Canis lupus familiaris: one gene and its partners. The protein of the gene in region 3 interacts with the protein of the main gene of each other region in a biochemical or structural test. Links are inferred from orthologs where the notes say so. Each region holds a gene or a part of one and is shown on either strand. Other genes may lie near its edges. The genes, in order: HDAC6, ACTR3 and CTTN.

The links.
Region 1: the proteins of CTTN (region 3) and HDAC6 form a complex in vitro, tested with the Homo sapiens proteins (3 studies listed by BioGRID and IntAct, with this or other methods). The link is inferred for Canis lupus familiaris from reciprocal best matches to the Homo sapiens genes CTTN and HDAC6.
Region 2: the proteins of CTTN (region 3) and ACTR3 form a complex in vitro, tested with the Homo sapiens proteins (3 studies listed by BioGRID). The link is inferred for Canis lupus familiaris from reciprocal best matches to the Homo sapiens genes CTTN and ACTR3.

What each region holds. Positions count from the first base shown.
Region 1 is NC_049260.1:42,208,242-42,212,339, reverse strand, and holds the start of HDAC6 (histone deacetylase 6), read right to left. Parts: upstream 2,902-4,098; 5' UTR 2,885-2,901; coding exon 2,708-2,884; intron 2,618-2,707; exon of another isoform or gene 2,599-2,617; intron 2,543-2,598; exon of another isoform or gene 2,403-2,542; intron 1,986-2,402; coding exon 1,863-1,985; intron 1,783-1,862; coding exon 1,654-1,782; intron 1,517-1,653; coding exon 1,428-1,516; intron 128-1,427; coding exon 43-127; intron 1-42.
Region 2 is NC_049240.1:36,584,943-36,588,592, forward strand, and holds part of ACTR3 (actin-related protein 3), read right to left. Parts: intron 3,357-3,650; coding exon 3,246-3,356; intron 1-3,245. UniProt on the Homo sapiens protein: ATP-binding component of the Arp2/3 complex, a multiprotein complex that mediates actin polymerization upon stimulation by nucleation-promoting factor (NPF).
Region 3 is NC_049239.1:48,400,424-48,404,073, forward strand, and holds part of CTTN (src substrate cortactin), read right to left. Parts: intron 3,646-3,650; coding exon 3,591-3,645; intron 2,808-3,590; coding exon 2,697-2,807; intron 56-2,696; coding exon 1-55.

The DNA of each region.
Region 1 (4,098 bases), on a different chromosome or scaffold from region 3:
CAGCTCCTGCCCACCACCCAGGGTGTCGGCTGAGGGACTCACCTGAAAGGACACGCAGCGGTCCAGGAGGCCATCCTGGATCAGTTGTTCCTTGATGGCATGGAGCCGCTCAGGGCCCTCAGGAAAGCTGGGTTGACAAGACATACAGTTACACACCCACACACACACAGACTCTCTCTTCCCCCTCTAAAATGCAATCTTCCCAGAGGCAGGGGTTCTGTTTGTTTTGTCTACCACGGCATCCCTAGCTCCTCAGGAGATGGCAGACATGTATTCGAGAATGAAATCTTTTGCCATCATGAGTCTTCTGTTGGGAGAGGGGACATACACACATAAGTGTGATAAATGAGCAAACAATGATATAGACTAGGAAGGCCTCCAACAGCAGGTGTGGGGGAAGGGGAGCAGACAAAGACCTCTTGGAGCAAGTCTCCTTGAGATGGGAATGTTAACTGGGTGAGGAGGAGGTGGAAATGAGTTTCTGGAAGAGGGGGCCAGCCAGGGTAAAGACCCGAGCTGACAGAGTGCCTGGCGATGCTGGAGGAACAGCAGGGGGACCAGTGTGGGTGAAATGAAGCTACGCGAGTGACTGGCTGATGAGGTCACTGAAGTGGTGTGGAGCCAGATCACGTGGTATGTTATAGGCCAGAATGAAGAATCTGGACTTTACCTTGAGGGCAATGGTATACCCTTGAAGGATTCTAAAAAAGAGAACAGGACTCTAACTAATGTAATGCAGTATGTCAACTATACTTCAGTTAAAAAGTAATTAAAAAGAGAGAGACAACATCATCTCACACGTATTTTGGTTTTCTTTGGCTGCCATGTGGAGAACAGACAGCAGGGTGAGGGTGAAAGCAGGCAGCCAAGGAGAAGGCCTCGGCCAAGTCTAGGTAAGTGATGGTGGTGGTGGCAGTGGAGGTGGTAAGGAGAGGTCAGGTACTGAATACATTTCCAACACAGAGCCAAAAGAATTACAACATGTGTGAGCAAATGGGAGGTATAAATTCTTGCATTTCTGCATGAAATATCCTTTCTTCAAGGAAGCCTTCTGCGAACCCCGGAATGCTAGTCTAGGGTCCTCTATCAAACACTCTTGAATCCCCTAGTCTGGGGTTATCCTTCGTTAAATACTTCACACTGCTGTTGGCTGTTTAATGATTTGCTCTCCTACTCAACTAACAGCTCCTAGAGAAGGGGCCCTGTCTGTCTGGTCTGACATGTCTGTATCACCAACTCCTGGAACACAGTGCATACTCAGGAGGTGTTGGCCAAATGAAAAGAATCTTTTCAAGCCTAAGCCTCCCCACTTGAAATCATCTGCTGCCAGTCTCCAGGCTAGCATAAGAATGGCTTCGTTCTTGCTAATGGGCTCTAAGGGCATTTATTTTTGTGGTTAGGGTACCGTCTGGAGGAGCCAGCCTCACCTGTCATCCCAGAGGCAGTGGAATTCATTTAGTTGCTCATCAAACACCAAGCCAGTGCCACAAAGTGTCTTGGCCTCAAGGTTCAGATCCTGCAGGGAGAAAAAAAGGGGAGAAACCGATCCACTTTGGGCCCGAGTCAGAAGGAACACACACTGTCCAGGAGGGAGAACCACAGGATTCTGATTGTCACAGGAAGCTAAATCCATTGAGCCCAGGCCACTCTCACCAGCCCTTGCAGGCCCACGATTAGGTCTTGCTCTGCTGCTTGGCTGAGCTTCTTCATTCTGCCTTTCTTCTTTACCTCTGCTAGACTAGGGCTGGAGTGGCGTAAGGCACCCTTCTTAACACCTCGCTTCTGCCAAACAGAGAGAAGGGTCAGATTCCAGGGCACGGCCTACTGCTCCTCCCCCCCATCAGGCAGGTTTGGGGCCTCACCGAGGTGACGCTGGAGTCGTGGGGGGGCGAATGGGGGTTATGCCTACTCCTTCGCTGCCTGGTTGTGGTGGAATCCTGGCCGGTGGAGGTCATGGTCGGGGAGACTTCACCCCTGATGCGGCTCTGGGGGGTGGGGTGGCGGTGACTACGAACAGGCTGGAGTGCCCTGAGGGCCTCCCAGACCCCGCCCCCTATACAGTCTCCATCCCTTCTGCTATCCTACTCCCCACCGCCTTCTAAACTCCACCCCTTTCAAGGCCTTCTCCTTCCACTGGGGTGTCCATTCCACCTGGTCCCGCCCATCCCAGTAGGCTCCACCCCCTTAACACTATTCTTTCCCCTTTAAAAGTCTTGCCCTTTCGCGGAGCAATAAGTCCCCAGGCTCAGTCCGTCCTAGCGCCGGCCCTTTCCAGCTAATCACCGCCCTTTCCGCTCCCCCAAATCACATTCCCAGACTCTTTCATTCCTCCAAGCCTCGCCAAGACCCCACCCCTTCACAAATCTGCCCCTTCCAGCTAATCTCCCAGAATAATCACCCACCCTTTCACTCAGCCAGACCCAGACCCCGCTCCGGCCCCGACTCCACCCTTAACGATCCACTTAACTCCACCCCTTATCAGGCTGGACCGACACCTTCCACTTGGCCAGATCCCGCCCCTAACGTTTCAACGAGCCTCGCTCCTCGGGGAACTGCCCCTTTCCTTCCACCAGATCCCACCCCCTGCTCAAACCCTACCCTCAAGCTCCAGCAAATCCCTTCAGCCAGTTTCAGGCCGCCTCCCACCAGTCCCCTCCCCCTTCCGACCCCACAGCCGACGCCGACCAATCCCTTCGGCTCCACTCACTGAGCGCAGCCCTTTTTTCAAACTCCGCCCAGGGCTCCCGCCGCCAAATTCCTGGCGACCTGCGGGACGGCGGGTGCTTGAGGCCCTCTTTTCCATTGGGCCGGTCTCTCTACTGCCCGCCCCGATCCGCCTACACTGTGTGTCGGTGCTCAGGGCCGCGCCCTTCAGGCGGGCCATACTTCCCGCGAGCTCACAAACGCCGTGGGTACGTCAGCGCGCGACGCTGGCTGTGCTGCGCCTGCGTGAAGCGTGCCCCCGCGGTTCGAGGTGGCGCTCAGGCTCTAGCCCGCCCCTCCCCCAACCACCGCCGCTGCCGTCCTGGCTCCCGTGGCCGCTGTCTCTCGATCCTTGTCCGGTCACCTTAGGAGTCCTCCGGACCCGCGCCAGTTGTCCTGTACGATGACTCAAGAGAGCAAACAAGCAAGCGAGGGAATTAGGAAGGGGCGGTTTCTTTTCTCCCGGTGGCTTCCTGCGCGGCGCGCTGTGATGACGTAGCGCGGGCGGGCCGGCGGCAGGGCCCCGGAGCGCGGTGGATATTGGAGGATGGCTGGTGGTGGCCAGAATGGGAGTGGTGACGATGTTAAATGCTGTGAGGCTTTTCCGAGTTAATATTCACTAAGGTGGCCCACAGGAAGCACTCACTAAATGTTAGCTGCTGCTATTCTGCTGGGAATATGGTTGGTAGGATGGAAGGAGGTTTACTGAGTGCAGTCGTGATGATAGCAAGTAATATGTGACAGGCACTGTCGTAAGCCACAATTCTGTGAGGTAGTTCCTATTATTAAGGCTGCTTTGGAGATAAGGAAACTGAGGTTACACGACTTAGCCATGTGACCCTTAGCAAGTTGCTGAACATCTATGTGCTTCGGTTTCTTCATCTGGCAAATTGTGATAATAGTGCCCGGGGCTTGAATAGACTCATGGAGAGTTTTTCTTGGATGGCAGTTCTCCCTCCAGCCCTCTCCATTGGGTAACCTCTGCCCCCAAGCTGTAGGGAAAGCGTGTGCCTGGGAAGTAGGGGGAGTTGCACCCGTGTGCCCCTCCAACTCCCTCACACCCCTTGTCTAGATGTCTAAATATCAGCTCCGCAGGAGGCCGGTTTGTCCTCCTAATCTCCCTCTCTCATTCTTCACCATTTCCTACCGGGCTGTAGGCTGGGGCTGAAGAGATAAGCGGTCTGGGGTTCAGCATGCTGACTAACAAATAGATTGACAGCCCCACCACCCAGTAGCCTGGCCCTATGACCCTTTAGAAAACCCCAGTTCCACCCTTCTCTTTCACTCTTTTGCTACCAGAACATGGTTTTGTTTTGTTTGGTTTTATTTTTTGTCCCAGTGGAAGAGGATCAAGTCCTAAGACCTTTAAACCTCCACATGCACCAAAGAAAACAT
Region 2 (3,650 bases), on a different chromosome or scaffold from region 3:
ACATATAGACCAAAGAGAAACTATATAAAGAATTCAAACAGATGTATTGCATATATGGAAACAATATAGTTATTCACACAAAAAAAGAAATGGAATCCCTATGTTACCCCATTAAACACTGATAAAAGGAATAAAAGACTTGGTCAAATCATCTTATAAAAGGGTAATGACAGATCCCCAGGGAGAAATACCAATGGTGTTTGCTAGTGGCAGAGTTCTCATCTATGAAAGGTTTTTTAGCAGGATGTACCTAGTCTGTTTACAACTAAAGTAAATAAGCTAAGATTCTACAAATTTATGCCATGGCTTTTTGGAAAATGTTATTTAAGTTATATAACTGTTAAGAGTATTAACATGGAGATATTTACACAGTTCTCTTCAGTTCACATACATCATTTAGAAACCTGCAGATTAAGTCTGGGCCAGAATACATTCTAATGAGGCAAGAGAACACTGAGCTGAAACAGTACTTACAATCCCACACTTCATGTTTCACCTATGCCTCATGATTAGTTAAACCATTTAAATTATTAAACCATGAAACAGGGCAAGACTTCTGATTCTTATGAATCAGATTTGACAATCTTTTTTGTTATCTCAAATATTTAAACTGAAAGGCAAACCTTTTAAACTTTAGAAAATATAAAAGAATAATGTTTTTGACCTTGAGGTAAGAATGATTCCTTAAATTTTAAGGGCACAAATTACAGAAAGAAACATGGATAACACTTGAATATATTGCCAATTAAAACATTTTTTGTTAATTTAAAAAATACTATAAAGTTTTAAAGACAATGGTCAACTTAGAGTAGACTCTGTATGTACGTAAAACCTTTTTAAAAAAAAAAGATTTTATTTATTCACTCATGAGAGACACAGAGAGAGAGGGGGAGAAGGAAAAGCAGGCTACACGCAGGGAGCCTGATGTGGGACTCAATCCCGGGACCGTGGGATCATGCCCTAAGCCAAAAGCAGATGCTCAACCGCTGAGCCACCTAGGCATCTCCATAAAACCTTTTAATAGCTAAACTACCTGATGTGTTTAAACTTATTTGAAAGAGTTTTGGAACTATGTTCAAAGCTTTGGAGATAACTTAGTGATAGGTACATATAAGATAAAAGCAAACTGAAAAAGCCAAGCCAGTTAAATTATAAACTCCAAGAAAAACAGAAGCTCTATATAAAATAAAATATAATCAGAAACCCTCCCAATAAAGAAAAAGAAACCCTCCCAATGAAAATATACAAAAAGCTAATAAGCACATGAAAAAGTGCTCAACATCATTAGTCATCAGGAAAATGCAAATTAAAACCAAAATGAAAAATCTTACACACCCACCAGAATGGCTAAAATTAAAAAGACTGACACACCAATGTTGGATAGAACATAGAGCAACCAGATTGCTAACACATTGTTGGTGGGTGTGCAAAAAGGTACAACCCCTTGGAAAAAGTTCTGAATGTTACCTATAAAACCAACCACACACCTATCCTATAATAGAGTAATTTGATATCCAGGTACTTATACAAGACAAATCAAAGTATGTCCACAAAAAGATTTAAGAATGTTTGTAGTAACCAAAATATTCTTAATAGTCAAAAACTGGAAACAGTCCAGGTAATCACCAACAAGAAAATGGATAGTGAGGCATATTCATACCATAGAATTTGACCCAGCAAATTACTGGTATATGAAACAATGTGGATGAGTCTCAAAGATTACGCTGAATGAAGTCTTACCAAAGAGCACATCTTGTATAATTTCATTTATATAAATTTCAAATATAAGCAAAACCAATCTACGCTGGAAAAAATCAGAACAGTGGTTGCCTCTAGCACATAGGAGCAGGAATTAATCAGGAAAGGACATCAGAAAACTTTCTAGGCTGATAGTAATGTTCTCTATCTTTTTTTTTTTTTTTAGATATTTTTGTTTATTTTTTTAATTTATTTTTTATTGGTGTTACTGTTCTCTATCTTGACAAGAGTTTTGTTTACACAAATGTATGCATCTGTTAAAATCAGGAGATGGCAAACAACATCATGCATCCTGTAAGACAAATCCATCTCATCACTTGTTTTTGTAGATACAATTTTATTGGAACACACTGAAGTACTGTCTAAGGCAGCTTTTCCTGTTACAATAGCAGAGCTCAATAGCTGCAACAGAGACCATATGGCATTCAAAGCCAAAAATATTTGCTATCTGGTCCTTCAGAGAAAGTTTGCCAATGCCTGCTCAATACTCATAGAATGCTAGCGTTAAGATTTGTACATTTTATAGCATGTGAATTTGTGAACTTTATATACATAAAAGAACTATAAATAATGAACTCTAGTTGGTGATATGCATGCTAGTGTACTTAGGGGTGAAATTACCCCATCTGCAACTCATTCTGAAGTAATTAAAAATATAAAATGGAGTGATGGATGGATAACCTGCTAGACGTCATAAAGTAATTATAATAAAATTAATATTTGCATCTAGGTTATGTATATGTGGGTATCTACCATAAAGTTCTTTCAACTTTATGTTTATGGTCTATAAACAATATTCACGAATTACAGTAAAATAAAATCAATGGAATATTGATTCCATGTCTATTCTATAGGGAGGGGGGAAGATAGGGATTCTATGTTGAGAAGGAGGATAAAAGGAACAAAATATCCTCACCTTTCCTACTAGAAAGCATTAGTGTCTAATATTTAAATAAATAAGAAATAGAAAACATGTTTAAATTTATGAGATAATGATCATAAAAAGCTCTTTAAAAATTTAAAGTGTTTGTCTCTAGAGACTATGAATCAAAGGCTGGGAAAGGTGAGAAAGCAGAGTGCTATTTTTTTGTTTTAAATCTTACAGCATTGGATTTTTGTAAACTATATATTGTATTTCTGTTGCCAAGAATTACCAATAAAATAAATAATCAGATGAGTTATTTAAAAAAGCAAAGAGCCATATTCCCAAATATTTTTTGAACCTTACTGTTCCTATCATAAAGATTACATATTAATTATGAAAAGAACTTTCTAAGTGCCTAAACCTTGGTGCTTCAATGTATCGTAACTATTGGAACCCAGAAGTGGATGATCTTAAAGACAATACAGCATTATAATGAAGTCTTTTAGACACAGAACAATTTAATAAACAACAAAGTATGCCCTAGTGAGTATAAATGTGATGAAAACATTCTCATTATGTTTTTTTCAAAAACGTCCTTGGTGAAATTATAATTTGTACTTACCAAAAGAAAATAATGATCTTCTGGTTCTGCCCTTAAATATTTAAAGATCACTTGTTCCATAAACCTTTCCATCAAGTCCCAATCTTCAACTATACCATGGCGAATTGGCCACTATCAAAACAAAACACAAATGAGATCTTAATATCAAAAGTAAATAAAACTACCAAAAAAGGAGAATATTAAACCAGGACAGCATTTTTCATGTGTGATTTAATGATGTAGATTATCCTTAGGAGACGCATACTTTACTATTTAGAGATCAATTAAATTATTCCAACAACATTTTCAGATGATTCAATTAAAATACATAATGTAAATGTTAAGAGAATCATCAGAGCAATCCTGTGATAGACAATCAAGAAGGATGAAGATTATCATATATGCAATTGCATTTAACAAAGAGCT
Region 3 (3,650 bases):
TTGTCTACCTTATCCTTGTCAATGCCGTACTTGCCACCAAAACCCTTCGAGTAATCTGCAAACAAGAAAAGTACTGTTTACACACCAGCAACAAAACCAGTGAGCAGGCCGTGGATTCTTTGAGAAAGTACTTTTATCACCCAGTTTTTTTTTTTTTTTTTTTTTTTTTTTTTAACTTTTATTTATTTATGATAGTCACAGAGAGAGAGAGAGGCGCAGAGACAGAGGCAGAGGGAGAAGCAGGCTCCATGCACCGGGAGCCCGATGCGGGACTCGATCCCGGGTCTCCAGGATCGCGCCCTGGGCCAAAGGCAGGCGCCAAACCGCTGCGCCACCCAGGGATCCCTTATCACCCAGTTAAAAACAAAACACACAGGCCAAAACTCTTTCAGGTACACTGTAAGATCACACTAATACAGAGCGCTCCAGAGTGTTATTGTGTGTGTAGCAACAAAAACACGAAGAATAGCAAGTGCAGCAGATTTTCACAACTGTACTATCTTTCCTTCATTCCAAAAGAGATCACAAAACAAGCATGTTATAAAGCTTTTGGGAGGGGCATCTGGGTGACTCAGTGGTTAACTGTCTGCCTTCCGCTCAGGGGGTGATCCCAGGGTCCTGAGATCGAGTCTCACATCAGGCTTCCCACAGGAAGCCTGCTTCTCCCTCTGCCTGTCTCTCATAAATAAATACATCAAATCTTTAAAAAATAATAAAATAAAAATAAATAAAGCTTCTGGGACTGAGAGGAGCCACCAGAGCCATAGAGGCAAGCTTTTAAAAGGTCACACTATGGGCACTTGTGTGGCTCAGTCGGTTAAGTGTCTGCCCTTGGCTCAAGTCATAATCTCAGGGTCCTAGGATCGAGCCCCACATCAGGGCTCCCTACTCAGCAGAGTCTGCTTCTCCCTCTCCCACTGCCTCTGCCCCTGCTTGTGCTCTCTCTTGCTATGTCCTTAAATAAAGCTTTAAAAAATATAAATAAATACATAAAAGGTCACTCTGCTTCATAAACAAAAGCCGCAGAGGTGTGCTGGGAGTACCCTCAAAGAAAGAGGACAGATGTGGAGCATCTTCCAGAAACCATCACTTCCACCCAGAGCTAAGTCACCGACATATCTCCATACTAAAGCATGGCTCTACCAGGGCCACATTCCCAGAGCAGACCACAAAGATCAAACCCTTTGGGGGAAGGCCCAAGGCTGCAGAGAAACCCTGTCTGCCCCATGCCCTTTGGCTTCTGCTCTCTGACTTCTCAGAAACGGTTTTCATTCCTCCTCAATGGCATGTCCAGGAGAAAATCTGAATAGCAGTGTGCAGGATCTAAGTGCAGGCCCGGATGAGCACCGTGCGTACCATACTGGGCAGAGGAGCACAAGTTTGCTCCAAGTAGAAGAGGCAGAGTCTAAAGAGACCCTGTGGGGCACACTGTGTGCCAGGACTGTGGCCTCAGGGTGGGTGGGCAGGCCAGGTATGACAGGAAGTGACACCCACAGCCAAGTCAGCTGCCCCAAAGGCCTCACTGCCACTTCCCAGGCAACTGACACGCCCATGGTGTTTCCAATGGGCATTTTCATTTTTGTCTTTTATTTATGTATTTTTAAAGATTTACTTATTTATTCACGACAGACAGAGAGACAGAGACATAGGCAGATGAAGAAGCAGGCTCCCTGCAGGGAGCCCACTGTGGGACTTGATCCCGGGACCCAAGGATCATGACCTAAGCCGAAGACAGACACTCAACCACTGAGCCACCCAGGCATCCCTATATTTGTCTTTTAAAGAAATCTGGGTTTTTAAACAAGATGTGAATTCTGTTTTTATATGTTGGCAACTATTTTTAAAAATGTAAACGCACAAGGGCGCTTGGTTGGCTCAGTCAGCGGATCTCAGGGTTGTAAGCTCAAGCCCCATGTTGGGTGTAGAGGTATTTAAAAAAAAAAATATTTAAACGTGAAGCCCATATGAAACAAATAATGCAGAAGAACCAACAATCCAGGGCCACTGCAAGAGGGGACCACATCTATAAACCCTTCATGGAGACATCCCTCGCCAGGCAGGGTTTCCAATGATGGAGGGAAAAATCAGCACAGCTGGTGAGGACAATCTGCAGTAGCCACCAAAATTTCAAACTCAACGTCCTTTGACCTAACAGTTCTACTTCTGGAAATTTACTCTTCTAAAAAATCATTTTTTAAAAATCTATGAGACTCAGGGAACAAGAATATTCACTGTAGTTGATTTTTAGCTTCAAAGATTGCAAATAACCAAAATTTCACATTCCAAAGAGGAATGGTTAAATGTTGACAGCCTCCTTGCAAGATGGGGACAGAAAAGGCAGATGTATGCTGACCTGAACAGAACAAGAGCCCTCTGACAATTTCAGTTAAAAAGACTGCAGAAGGGACGCTTGGGTGGATTAATAGCCCAGGTCATGATCCTGGGGTCCTGGGATCGACTCCTCCATTGGGCTCCCAGTGAGGAGCCTGCTTCTTCTCCCTCTGCCCGTGTCTCTGCCTCTCTCTCTCATGAATAAATAAATAAAATGTTAAAAAAACAAAACAAAACAAAAACAGCAGAAATGCCACACAAGCCAGCTGGCATGGGGAGAGAAATCCCTGGTGTGGACCTGTGAGTGCGCAGCAGGGAGGAGGCAGGCCCCACACAGGGAGAAGTGGTGCTCCCAGTGGCCTGACCTTTCTGTGACTCGTGCTTTTCCGTCTTGCCCTGGTAGTCGAAGCCCACGGCACTCTTGTCCACCCGGTCAGCCTGCACGCCATACTTGCCACCGAACCCACTTGAGTAGTCTGAGGAGACAGGGCGGCAGTCAGTAAAGAAGCTCGATGACAGGCTCAACTGTCACCTCGGTTCTTCGACTGAGCAAGACAAAAACATTTTGGAGTCAGGACACAGCAAGAGATCAAGCGCACAGTTTAAAAGTCCCCCCATGGTCATGCAGGAGTGAACCCAGACTCCATTCAGAGCGCAATCCCTTGCAACCCCAAGAGGGGAGCCTCTCACAATGGCACAAGAAGCTGTGGTCCCACTGCAGAAATTAACTGTCCAAATAAAGCAAGTTGTGCAGCTCAAACCCCTTGCCGAAGGGACTAGAGAGGTCCATGCCAGGCCAGATGGACAGAGCGCCCACCCCCAGGGCATCCGATGATACGCAAGACACAGGCGTAAACCAGCTCACAAAAAGTACACCAAGCACTTTGAAAAAATAACATGCTTCCATTTAAAAAAAAAAAAAAAAGAAAGAAAGAAAGAAAGAAAAAAAAAGGCTTTAAAAGACTGTCACGACTTGAAGGTTAGCCAGCACCATGTGAGGACCACACGCACAGTAAAGCAACAGTGATCTCAGGCTCTGGTTTCCAAGGCTGGGGGGAAAGTGAGCTTGTTGCCAGCCGAACCCGAGAGTGGACTCTCCTGGTACAACGATGCTCAGAGGAAGAAAAGGCAGCCTCTGCCACAGCCTGGGGAGCCCCATAGTGATATGGTCCTCCCCAGGAAACCGCCTCTGATGACAGTGTTCTCTCTGGCCCGGCGCAGCGGGGCAGGGCTGCCCTCCTGTCTGCAGCACAGCTTACCTCTCTGTGAGGCGTGCTTCTCGGTCTTCCCCTGGTATTCAAAGCCTACAGCAGACTGTA